Saccharomyces cerevisiae S288C: one gene and its partner. Changing the gene in region 1 together with any one later gene gives a genetic interaction. Each region holds a gene or a part of one and is shown on either strand. Other genes may lie near its edges.

Region 1 (7,799 bases):
TACTTCCAATGATATTTACTACTGGGGTTTGTCAGTGATAAAGCAGGATATGGAGTCGAACCCTACCGCCAAGTTGAATTTAATTTGGCCTGCTACTCCAATTCATATCAAGAAATATGAACAACAAAACTTTCATTTAGTCAGAGAGACTCCTGAGATGTACAAGAGAATTGTTCAGCCTTACATCGAAGAAATGTGTAATAACGGTAGACTTAAATGGGTAAACAACATTCTTTATGAAGGCGCTGAGTCAGAAAGGGTCGTTTATAAAGATTTTTCTGAGGAGAATAAGGACGACGGCTTCCTAATTTTACCTGATATGAAATGGGATGGCATGAACTTAGACTCTTTATATCTAGTTGCGATCGTCTACAGGACCGATATCAAGACAATAAGGGATTTAAGATATTCTGACAGACAGTGGTTAATCAACTTGAACAACAAGATTAGATCCATTGTTCCTGGTTGTTACAACTATGCTGTCCATCCGGATGAGTTGAGAATTTTGGTTCACTACCAACCTTCTTATTATCATTTCCACATTCACATCGTTAACATAAAGCATCCCGGTTTAGGTAATAGTATTGCCGCGGGCAAGGCCATCTTGTTGGAAGACATCATTGAAATGTTAAATTATCTAGGACCAGAAGGCTACATGAACAAGACAATCACCTACGCTATTGGTGAAAATCATGATTTGTGGAAAAGGGGTCTGGAAGAAGAACTCACTAAACAATTGGAAAGAGATGGTATCCCAAAAATACCCAAGATTGTGAACGGTTTTAAATAAAGGTTGTTAAAATTCTCACATCATCCACCTTTTTCCTACTCTCATTTTCTTTTTTTGAAAGTTGTTTGTTTTATATACCTTAGTTTCACAACAACATAAGGCATGCCTATTTGAGATTTTGTGATTAAAAAATAATAGAATACGTACTATATAACCGTCGGTTTAAAGTAAATAAATTAAAGACTAAGAATGAAACAATTAAAAACACTGTTCAATAACGTTGCTCTATCCTCCTGAGTCTTCCGGATCCTGTCTCCATTTTTTTGTGTGGTGACGAGTTGAGATAAAAAGATTTCCACTGCTGAGAATAATATCTATAATCGATAATGAAAGTTAGAACGATCACGTTGACTCTGAAATATAGTCAATAGAAAAAATTAGGTATCAATTCAATTGTAATATTTACTGGATTGAATTTAATTTAAGAATTACAGAATAAGAGGACGGACAATAAGAGGTACGCTACACATCTACCATCACTTTCAGGGAGGGCATAAAATGGAGGAGAGTAAGACAAAAAGAAAAGAGGATCGCATAGATTTGAAGAATACACCGCCTCAGAAGAAGTCAAAAAGAGATTCAACAAATGACGAAACTGCACGCACATCACTACGTTCAATCATGCCCAGGGGTTATAAAATGATGGAAAACATGGGTTACAAAGAAGGAGAAACATTAGGTAGTAATGAAAGTGCCCTAAAAGAGCCTATTAAGGTAGAAATCAATACAAAAAGGAGGGGAATTCGTGCAGAAAAGCCCGACCCATCAACAATGAATGACATGCAGATGAGTGAACAACGATTTATAAAAAGAGAAAGTGAAATGAAAAATAATAAGCGGTTAAAAAAAATTTGGTATAGGATCCAAAAAGTTGCTTTTGAAATGATGGGTGATTCCGATTTATACAATCCAGGCGAAGATCCGAGAGACTTTAACGTACTTTGGAGATCTTACGTTATGCAACTAAATGAGGAAGTAGCAAAAAATGACCTAAATAATCACAGTAACAATGATAATGAAGATAAGAATAATATGATACCAATGGTAAATGAAAGTTTGGAGGCTTCGCCTGCAATAAAAGGTGAAAAGTTTGGACGTCCTTCTACATTAATAGATTGTGATACTTCAATTATCGGTAGTCGCATTACAAAAGACACAGAACTTGCTGAATTAGAAGAATTGAGCATTGAAAAAAGAATAACAAAATTGAATATATTCCTGAGGTCCGAGAAGTACTACTGTTTTTTTTGCGGAATCAAGTATAAGGATGAAGGTGATCTCTACGAGCATTGCCCAGGAGTGAATGAAGACGACCACAAATGAATTTTATCGAGATAGGTAAAGTCATATTTCAAGAAGAAAGAAATGAACAGCTTTTATTTATATAATAACATATAATATAAAACGGAAGAAACGGGTAAACGTCAGTTCGATTATTCTTTTGCGGATACAACCTTGAAACCTTGCTCCAATAATGCAGTGACGTCTTCATTTTTGTATGGTAGATTGTTTAGTACGAATGCAATATCATCCCATTGCTTTTGGGTCTCGCACTTTCTCAGTCTTCCAACTAATTTCTCGTTTAATTGCTTTTGGTGCCGTTCCTTATCGATAAAAGTTAACAGAAATTTGATGATTTTCTTGAAACTCTCCTTACCCAATAAATCATCTGACGATAAATTACTAAAGATATCGATGAATCCATTATAAATGGCGTTGTCCTTGGATGCTAACTCGGTGAAAAATAATCTGCACATATCACTTATTCCCTGGTCTGGATTGTCTAGGCATTTGGCCATTTCTCCTAATTGTCCTTTAACCTTAACCTGTCCAGCTAAAATCAAGAAGGTAACTGTCATTAAACATGTTCTTTGTACCATTAAGTTTTCATCATGCAAACGGCGATACAAATAATCTGTGTTTTCGTCTACTAAGTTGTTGAAGCATACTGCCATGTCACCTAGTCCTAAGACAGCATTTGAGCGAATAGTAGGATCAGGAGATTTTTCCATTACTGTGATTAATAGCGGCAGGCTCTTTTCACAATATTTTGATGATAAACACATTAGTTTTTCTAGACATAAGGTTGCCGTTCTTTGAAGCATTGGATCGCTAAACCTGCTTGAATTAGAAACAATCTCTTCTACAATTGGGCAAAACTTCCCTAATATAGATTTTTCTCCAAATAGTAATTCATTCTCTTTTACAAATTGAATAGCATCCGTGAAATCGTCCTCATTAGTACCTCCTATCATTTCTAGCTCTTTATCACCACCGTTATCTTGTGTGGTGTTAGTTACATCTGCACCTTGGTTTTTTACTTTACCGTTCCGAGTTTCTGCCTCGATCTTTCTTTTCTTGAATTCTGCCTCACATTTCTCTAGATAGACAAGTGTTTTAATTGCCACTTGTCCTACAATGAATAATAATTGACTGAGAGAAACAACTCTAGATGATTGTTCTAACGACAAAATAGAGTCTTCCTCTTCAGGTTTACCAAATGTCATCATTGTCTTTTCTCTAATCAGATCTGTAGCTAGTATATCGGGCTTAGAAGAGATTGTAAACAGTGCACTAAGCGCTTGTTCGCACATAGGATAATATTCATTATCCTTGGTATAGTTGATAATTATGGCATACAACTTTTTCACTGCAACATCTTCAAGCTCTTGATTTATTGCCTTGGTAATAATAGTGCTTCTCTTGGGAACCATTCTCTCTAACGCTAAACAAGAATACCGACAAAGGGTCAGATCTTTTAAACCAACGGCACCAAGTCCAATGTTTAAAAGTGACTCCAGTCCTTTTAATGCTATTTCGTTATCGGCTAACGATAACATTCCTAAAATAATAATAGAACCATGAATTTGTTCCTTAGAAAACCCTTTTTCGGAGTCACGGTTGTTCACATTTTGTTCTTTCTGCATACTGGCCTTCGATGCAGAATTGTAAATAGCCCAAAGGATATTAATGACATGTTGATCAATCAATTTTTGTTCATACATCATTCCTAATAGCTGTTCCAAAGAGGCCAAGTCTGCAATAGATGCGCCGATGCTTAGATTAATTAAATTTTTGGCAATATGTGCCGCCTTCTCCTGCATATTGCAACTATCTGGCGCGGTTAAAAATAGCTGCTTATAACATTCTATCAAATGTACTGATATACTCGTTCCTTCATCGTTTGTGCCCTTCATCCAAACCAAATGCAGCATTTTTTTTATACCAAATTCGCTTAACTCAATGTCAAAAGCGTCTGCTAAAACTAGGAAGTCCATTGATTCTAAAACTTCGTTTCTGTTCTTAGAAAACAGCAAATTAGATATCAATTCAATACTCTTGTGTATCTCTTTAATGAAACTAATGGCATCTTTATAGTAAACAATCATTAACTTTAGCTTCATGAGAACACTGGTATTTGTTGCATTTATATTCTCTACCTCATTTTCTATTCTAGAAAGTTCTGCGCTCTTATTGAAAGAACCTTCTAACTCGGTCCTACATTGACCTTCATCTTGTTCTACCTCTTCTTCAATCAAAGACCTTTCAATCGTGTCATTCAGAGTTTCTTGTGACTCTACTTTCTTTAAAGTGGAATTTAGCTGTGATTCAGATCCTTTGAGATATTCTTCCCATTCACTCAGCCTCAATTGGCTACCATGTATGGCCTTAAAAGGATGTTTTAGCAATAATTTTGAAAGTAACTTTACTGAGTTCCTACGAACTAAAGAGGAGCGGTCCTGCAATGATCGTACTGCCAACGAAGTAAATTTAGCTTTGCTTTTGTTAAATTTCGAACTCAAATCGCAGATCTTTGAACACCCTTGTATCGCCTTCGTTCTAACGTAGGGATTTGAATCCTGGAATCTTTCTTCTAGTAACTCAATAAGTACGGCTATTTGTTGTTTATAATGTTCCATAGTTTGTGGGTCTTGAGCCAATTCAGCCACAATATTTCCACATGCTTCTACAACGGAACATCTCAATGTTATAGAACTATTGTTGAGTAAGGTGATGACAAGATTCATCTGTCGAAGCATTATTCCTGGTGATAGCTCTGATAATTTAATCAAAAAATTTGATATTGCCTTTGGGCCTGTGGTATCCTTTGCGTTAAATACCCTGGTGCTGATTTCTTTCAAGATATCTTCTGTTAGTTGTGGATAGTTATATTCATCATTCAATAGTTTTAGTAATTCTGCATTAAAAACCGACAAATGAAGAAAATAAGTTAAATTTGTCATCAATGAACTTTGTATACTTGAACTTTGACCGTGATTTTTAACACACATAGCCAAAATCCTTTGAATAAACATCTTTAGTGATGATACCTTCGTCACAGGTTCAATCTCTAATAACACAAATAATGGTCTTGTGAACAAACCAATAAACAAATCCTTTTCAGGAGTTGTCTGAAATATCTTAGATAAGTTAATCTCCAGTAGCTTTGTTATAGATTCAAGCAAGTTTTCCATTTGATTACAGTCTCTTTTAAACAGCTCGACGTTTGCACTATCATTCTTACTGTTTTTGGCAGAACGGTTTAGATTGGTAGACTGCGAGGAGACCTTATGTAACTCATCTTGTAAAAACGTCAAAAGTACCTGAATAAGGTAGCCATACTCTTCTAAATGCCTTTTCCACTGCGGTATCAGGCCACCAATTTCAGTAAAGTTAACATTTGATGAGAGATTAGCCTTAATATCTTTTGACAGATTCGACAGAGATGAACTTATCAAATAGCTTAGTTGAGTTTGTAATTTCGGTGTTAAGTGCGGGAAGTCATGGCAAAGATCTATTAATGCTTCTAGTGAATCTGGACTAGCATCTATTTGTTCGGGTGAAACGGCCAATTGGTCTATGATAACATTCAGTTCTCTGGATGGGTCCTGCAAGCGAGGATATGATTCTCGATCTGTTGTTTGGAACTTGGTCAGATACTCGGAAAGGCTAAAGCCGGACATCTCATAAAGTAACGAAGTCAGTTACCACCTATCAAAGGATAAAGATATTGTTACTGCTGCTTCCTTTACCTTTCTTTTTTTTGGTCAGTGACAGGTTATTTTCTTTGTTTACTAAATGGTCGCAAGATTTTCGCGATGCGTTTAATTTTCATATTATTGCTTTCCAATTTACCCAAAGTGCAATTGACAAAGGCCATTAGTCTTTCTTTTTACAACAGTAAGAATATAAATATACAAGTGCAGTATTTAAGATACTTAATTCGAAAAGTGAAAAAAAAAAAAAAGAATCTGGAATTGGTTATTTTAATTTCTCATATGAATTGCTTTCCAAATTCTTGCAATCAATAACATTTTTTATTTATTTTTTTTTCAAGATCAGAACATGTATATATATATATATATATACTGTTCATACCAACAATTATCATTTAGTAGTAAAGTTTGTGATAACGATCAAGCTAGAAACTCCATAGATATCCTGACCCTTACTCGTTGTAAATAAAAGGCTCGCGACAAGAAAACAACGCGTTACTTGATAATAATTTTAAAATCAAACAAAAGAGGTGGGGGAAAGAAGCCCTTACTATTGAATAGCAGACATTTTATTCATCTCGCAATACTACTACATTTCTATGAAATATAACAGGTATAAAAAATGATTTCGCCCAGGATCGAACTGGGGACGTTCTGCGTGTTAAGCAGATGCCATAACCGACTAGACCACGAAACCTATTATTTATGTTTAATCCACGTTACACCACCAATTATACAAAAATAAAAAAGAATGACGGCAAAAAAGCAAAAAGTGACATTAATCATATTTGTTTATGTCTTATTCTACTGGTAGTATTCATCCATTAGTATATTACTCTCTGTATAAGGTTATAATGTTGAAATGATAATCAACTATTGTGTATGATCAATTGGTGAATAATTTGATAATTGTTGGGATTCCATTTTGCTTAAGGCAATATAATATTATGTATACACAATATACTAGAAGTTTCTCCTCAAGGATATAAGACTCAATAACATGGAAACAACATTTCTCCACAAAATTTTGTAATTATCTTTCTTCCATTTTATATGTTTCACATCCTATTAATCCTCAATTCTCGCATGTTCGGTTTCATATTAAATTTGACTACTGTTTCACATAGTATATTTGTTGAAATGAAACTCTAAAATATCATTTATTAGTAGTATTCATGTTACTAGAATCTATTATCATATGCGGTGTAACAAGATGGCATAAAGATTGGGAAACAGTCATCAAATATAATGGAAGCTGAAATGCAAGGACTGATAATGTAATAGGACAATGAAACATATAAAACGAAAGGTGTAATAATTATAAGATTTTGTGGAGAAATATTGTTTCTCTTTTATTGATTCGTATATTCTCGAGGAGAACTTCTAGTATATTTCACATACTCAATAATATAACGTTTACTAAAGATGGTGTTAACATGTTAAAAAAACTTCGATTGTTAAGAGTCCTTTTGTTATACAACTCTTTAAACGACTGTTTAAACCTATCATTTCATCACAAACTGTAAAGGTAAGAGTTAAAGCAGATATATCACCTATCAACTGCAGCTAAATATCGTGAAATGAAAAACTAATCGTTATTTGCACCAATAAAGAACGAAAATCCCCCACTGAATTTAAAATATTTCTAAAGAACTAAAGTCATTTCGACTAATGAGAAACTAAAGTCAGAAACAAAAATGCAAAAGCAATATTAACTTATGTGAGCAAAATATTTCATATCTAATCTATGAAGGCAAAAGAATATGATTAACTATTTTATTAATTTTAATTAAAATTTTATTCTCTTCATTCCAAGGATTTTGTTATTATTGTAATATGGGCGATGGTTAGGGTGACGGCGACTTATAAAAATAATCACGAAAAATGTGAATTTTATTAGGGCTAAGAGAGGTTCTCTCCTCATATTCTCCTGAGCTGTCACTCATATTATCACCTGGAAAAAATGGTAATGAGGTTGTGGTATTCAAGGGAGAAATTTCCGGAGATGAGCT
Region 2 (4,714 bases), on another chromosome or scaffold:
ATAATATAACTATTAGTTGATAGACGATAGTGGATTTTTATTCCAACACATATAAAGTTTAGAAAGATGACATAAAGATTAACTTAATACATGACTGGGTATACTTGAATTCTAAAATTTTCAACAAATAAGTGGTTGTTTGGCCGAGCGGTCTAAGGCGCCTGATTCAAGAAATATCTTGACCGCAGTTAACTGTGGGAATACTCAGGTATCGTAAGATGCAAGAGTTCGAATCTCTTAGCAACCATATTTTATATTTTTTTATATTGTGTTCAACAATGAACAATAATGACGAATAATCCAGAATGATATAAACGTCCATGAATAAAAGTCCGTTATAATCATATATAATTGATGCATACCGTACGCTATTAGTTCTCTTTTGTTGGTTGCTTTTGAAGATTTAATTATGATATCATTAACCAGTCTAAAAAATTACTACAATTCGCCAAGAATATTTAAGATATGGTTGAGAGATCCCAACATAATTACTGACAGACTTACTGGTCGTCTTCATCACTTTCAACATATTTAGGTGTTTGGTACTTCTTTGTATTTATTTCATTGTCATCCACATCCAGCATTGGTTTTCCATTAGAATTTCCAGCTGGTCCATGACTTGTTTTGAAATTAATTTTTTTAACTTGCACGTTCCTCGAATCAGAATCATCATCCGAATCATCTGAGGAAGAGCTATCCAATGAAGATTCAAGTGACATGGAAGAAGAAGAAGAAGGTGAAGAATGCGACCTGGTAACCTTGACTTTCTTGAGCTGCGGTGTTCTTTCTAAACTGGACGGTATCGCTTGGCCATTTTTTCTTTTTCCAGGAGTTGAATTCATAACTGGCAACTTGGGTGAGACTTGTTCTTGTTCCTGAGCCGTACTATTAGAAGTTGCCTCCACTTTGTCTTTACTATTATCAACAGGATCTCTCATTAATTTGACTACTTTTATGGTCGAAGCTGCATTTGGCGGTTTCCCAGCATTGGCAAAAATATCTTTTAGGGATCTATTCCCCATATTTCTTTTTCTTTTAAACTCTATAACTTTCGATCCAACATCATCAGTTTTTCGTTTCACTTTTATTTTACCAAATTTTGCGAATTTCTCACCGGAAATAATGGTATTGGGATCATCAAAGTGCTTTGTTTCCAGACTTACCCCTTTTGAAGTTATGGATTTGGGTTTATCTTTCTTCATTATTCCAAATTTTCCGTAATATGGTTCCGTAATACTATTCCTTTTTTGGACCTTAGTTTCCCCAGTTGGCTTGAACCTATTTAGTTTCCGAATAGTTTCTTGTATTTTTACGTCTTTTGCATGCGAAGTAGATGACGCAGCACCCAATGATTTATCAGGAAACTCCTTCTCAACAAGTCGAAATAGGGCTTCCTTACCTTGACTTTGATGTAACCGATTATTCAATTCTTTTTCAGGAAAAAAGGGAGGAGAAACAACATTTTTGGTACTTTGAGTACTTTGTACTGCATTTTCAATATCACTGTTGAATGAAACGCTATCCAAGTCGGAATTGATATCCCGAAATCCCATCGATGCCTTCTTAGAATTGTTGATAAACGAATCCGCACGATCATTATCGGTTTCATTAAAATCCTCTTCATCTGAAAATGCTTCTATCCTTCTACAATTCTCACCTATATCTTTGTCGTTCAATGGCAGATCATCACCTTTTTTGTTTTGAACTTTAATTTCTAAGGAACTCTTCCTGGGACTATGAGCACCACTAGAGGGGTTAGAATATTGTATATGCATATCAGAATTAGTATGAGAAGTAGTGCTCAATTGGAAGTCGGTATCAATCGAATCAAACGAAATTTGAGGGGAGTTTTCATCTGCGGGTTCATAATCAGCATCTTCTGACGAATTGCGTAAAAGATCTAAATCCTTTGATTCGGCCCTTTTAGCGCCATCATTTTTCTGTTGTTGAGTGGATGAAGGTATATTTTCTTTATTGTTATCACTCCCTTGCGTTACAACTCCCTCTTTAGCACGAGCGTGATCTTTTACGTCTTTGTGTACATTTGATGCCACTACTGTGGAAGTAAGTGGCATGGGACACTTTTCTTTATTCAGTGCATCATACTTGCTTGCAAGCGGTAGAATTTCGTTCATTAGCGGCGTTGATACTCTTGATTTATTAATGAAGTTATTCTTGAGCGAGCTTTTAGCTATTAGATGCATTGTATCTTTATTTGATATAGAAGATAAGTCTTCCTTAGAGATCTTTTTTCTCTTTTCAGTAACGATGGATTTTGTGGATGGCTTGTTGTCCTGCCGTCTCCGCTGTCTTGCCAATTGTAAAAGTGAAATATGTTGATTTCTACTCCAGTCTAATTCATCTTTTAAAATTACCAAAACCACACCATCATTTTCAAATACGTCTTTTATTATAAATTCAGAGTCCAAATCACAACCATGCCTATCTTGTAGAGATACGATTTCAATGGATTCTTTGAAATTTGGATAAAGTCTATCAAATTTAGTTAAAATTTCATTAGATAGTTGTAAAAGGGTATTGTCACCGTCCGTAAAATGTAAAAACTTTTTACAATTCGGGAGGTAGTTAATGAAATCACTACTACGATTCGACTGAATAGAATTTTGCGAAGACGGGCTCGTAGGAGAGGGGTCGCTACAGTTATTGATACTGTTGTTGTGCGTAATTATATCTTCATTATACTGGACCATAGGAGACACTGATTGTGGAGTATTCAAGCGTGCTTCGAGAAATGTGATAATATCTTGAGCACTTGGCGGCACCAGTACAATCTGTAACCTCCACATTTTTATCATTTACTTATTTGAACCAAACACCAAGGAGGGCAAAGGATATTATAAGAAATGTGGCAAAAGATTGGCGTATTTATTGAATGCTTGTATAATTGGGTAGCTAACCAAAAATGACTTGTTTTCCTTCTTCAGCGAAACTAATAAATAAACAAACAAACAAATTAGGACCATCTTGCATTTGAGATCTGAAGAATATGAAAAAAATTATATAACAGTATCGTATAATGCGACTTTTTTTCGTGATGCCTATGTAACAATAGTAGAGAAAAAACAGGTCACATTTCTATAAATGATTGAATAATTGGTTCTATATACGTACATACTTTTGGAGTTTTACTTTTATTCTCTTGATTTAATGGATGTAGATGCTATAAAAAGACATGTTTTCCCGGAAATAGTTAAAATGATATTTTGCCATTTTTATGCGGATGATGGCTATTAGGAGGGTTTTTAGTGATTTTTTTTTTTTCCACAAGCTGAAATTTTCGAGGTCTTTGTCTCGACCAGGCTCTCAAGTCAAAAGTTTCATAGTCTTCGGCCATCAATTTAAAATAGCTTTCAAAATTTGACTTGATCAGATCGTTTGTAGCACTTGAATGCATGAAATTCACGTTTGGTTTAGACTCAGGACCTTTATAGATGTAGTCTGTCGAGACAGCCTCATCATCGGTACTCAAAGATGAAGGAGACAGCGAATTTACCGGAGAAAAATGTCTTGATTCGCTTTCCAGAGATGCGGAAGGCTCATTGTTTGAGCACGATGCCAAACTATTTTCCTTAAGATTTTGTTCCTGGATGTTATACTTTTTCTTCATCGAGTTATGATAATTTTTTAAAGTTGTTGTCAAAAGTCGCTTATTCGATAAAACTTTGGTCTTTATGATAGCAATAGAAACAATATTTTTGAAGTTATCGAAAACCTCCATGTTGAACTGTTCCTGTTTTTTCTTTTGTTTGGCAATGCTTTGACATATTTTATCATATTGAGACCAAAATTGTTCAACGTTTAGTTTTGAGAGATCTCTATTCATTTTTTCTAGACAATTTTGTAACCAGGCCCGTTTATCATAATTTTTAAATCGTTGATCATTCTGGAAAACCTCCTTCCAGGAAGTGTTCTTAACCACGTTAGCGTCGTTATCCACGTACAACAAGGCAGACAACTTATTTAATTGCCAACGACCATCAGATTTCCAAATGAAAAAGGTGTCACTTATTTCTTCATATTCGAGAATGTAGAAATGGGGAATACAATTCGGCTTCAAATATGCGGGTGCACAATCTATCTTCAAATTTTCTGTTATGGTCTCAGAAGTTTGCAACTCAATCCCGTACAATTCTTGAATAGAATGCACGAACTTGATAACCTGAGTTAAAGTGAGACCTTCCTTAATACAGGTCAATTTAACACGTGGTTGTTCTTCACCAGCGTATAAGTAAACGGTTTCTAACTTGGACATGGTTTCCTTTCTTTGTACTTGGTATTTCTTCTTCTTTTTCTAGCTGTCTGTATGAGTACTTAACTGTAACAGAATAGTAATGGGTTCAGGCTAAATCTCTTTAATTATGGCACCTTTATGCTGATATAAATCCCTATACATTTCTTAGGGGTGTGTTTTGGTTTTTGGTCTCATAGTTTTGACAGCACGTTGGAACGCCACTCATGCCTTAAAAGGCCGGGTAATGATTTATAGTCCAATTATATCACAGCACTACAAGACGTCAAAAATTCACGGCGGCAAAAGGTCTGTAACTACCTAAACATTAAAAGCCTTTGAGCTATAAATCATTATGTACACTGAGAATGCCACATGCTAAAACAAGGAAGTTTTCAGCGAAGTAGCACATTAACTGACCACTCAATAGAAAGAAAACAGAAAGTGGAATGGATGGCCACTTTC

The links.
Region 2: mutations in YCS4 (region 1) and TOF2 together harm fitness more than expected from each alone (negative genetic interaction), as found in Saccharomyces cerevisiae (3 studies listed by BioGRID, with this or other methods).

The regions. Positions count from the first base shown.
Region 1 is NC_001144.5:681,449-689,247, forward strand, and holds YCS4 (condensin subunit YCS4), read right to left. Parts: upstream 5,755-7,799; coding exon 2,224-5,754; downstream 1-2,223. Other genes in the region: DCS1 (5'-(N(7)-methyl 5'-triphosphoguanosine)-(mRNA) diphosphatase), read left to right, coding at 1-790; CMG1 (Cmg1p), read left to right, coding at 1,289-2,113; protein phosphatase regulator PIG1, read right to left, coding at 7,635-7,799. UniProt on the Saccharomyces cerevisiae protein: Regulatory subunit of the condensin complex, a complex required for conversion of interphase chromatin into mitotic-like condense chromosomes.
Region 2 is NC_001143.9:458,424-463,137, forward strand, and holds TOF2 (Tof2p), read right to left. Parts: upstream 2,817-4,714; coding exon 501-2,816; downstream 1-500. Other genes in the region: chromatin-associated RNAPIII regulator FPT1, read right to left, coding at 3,212-4,273.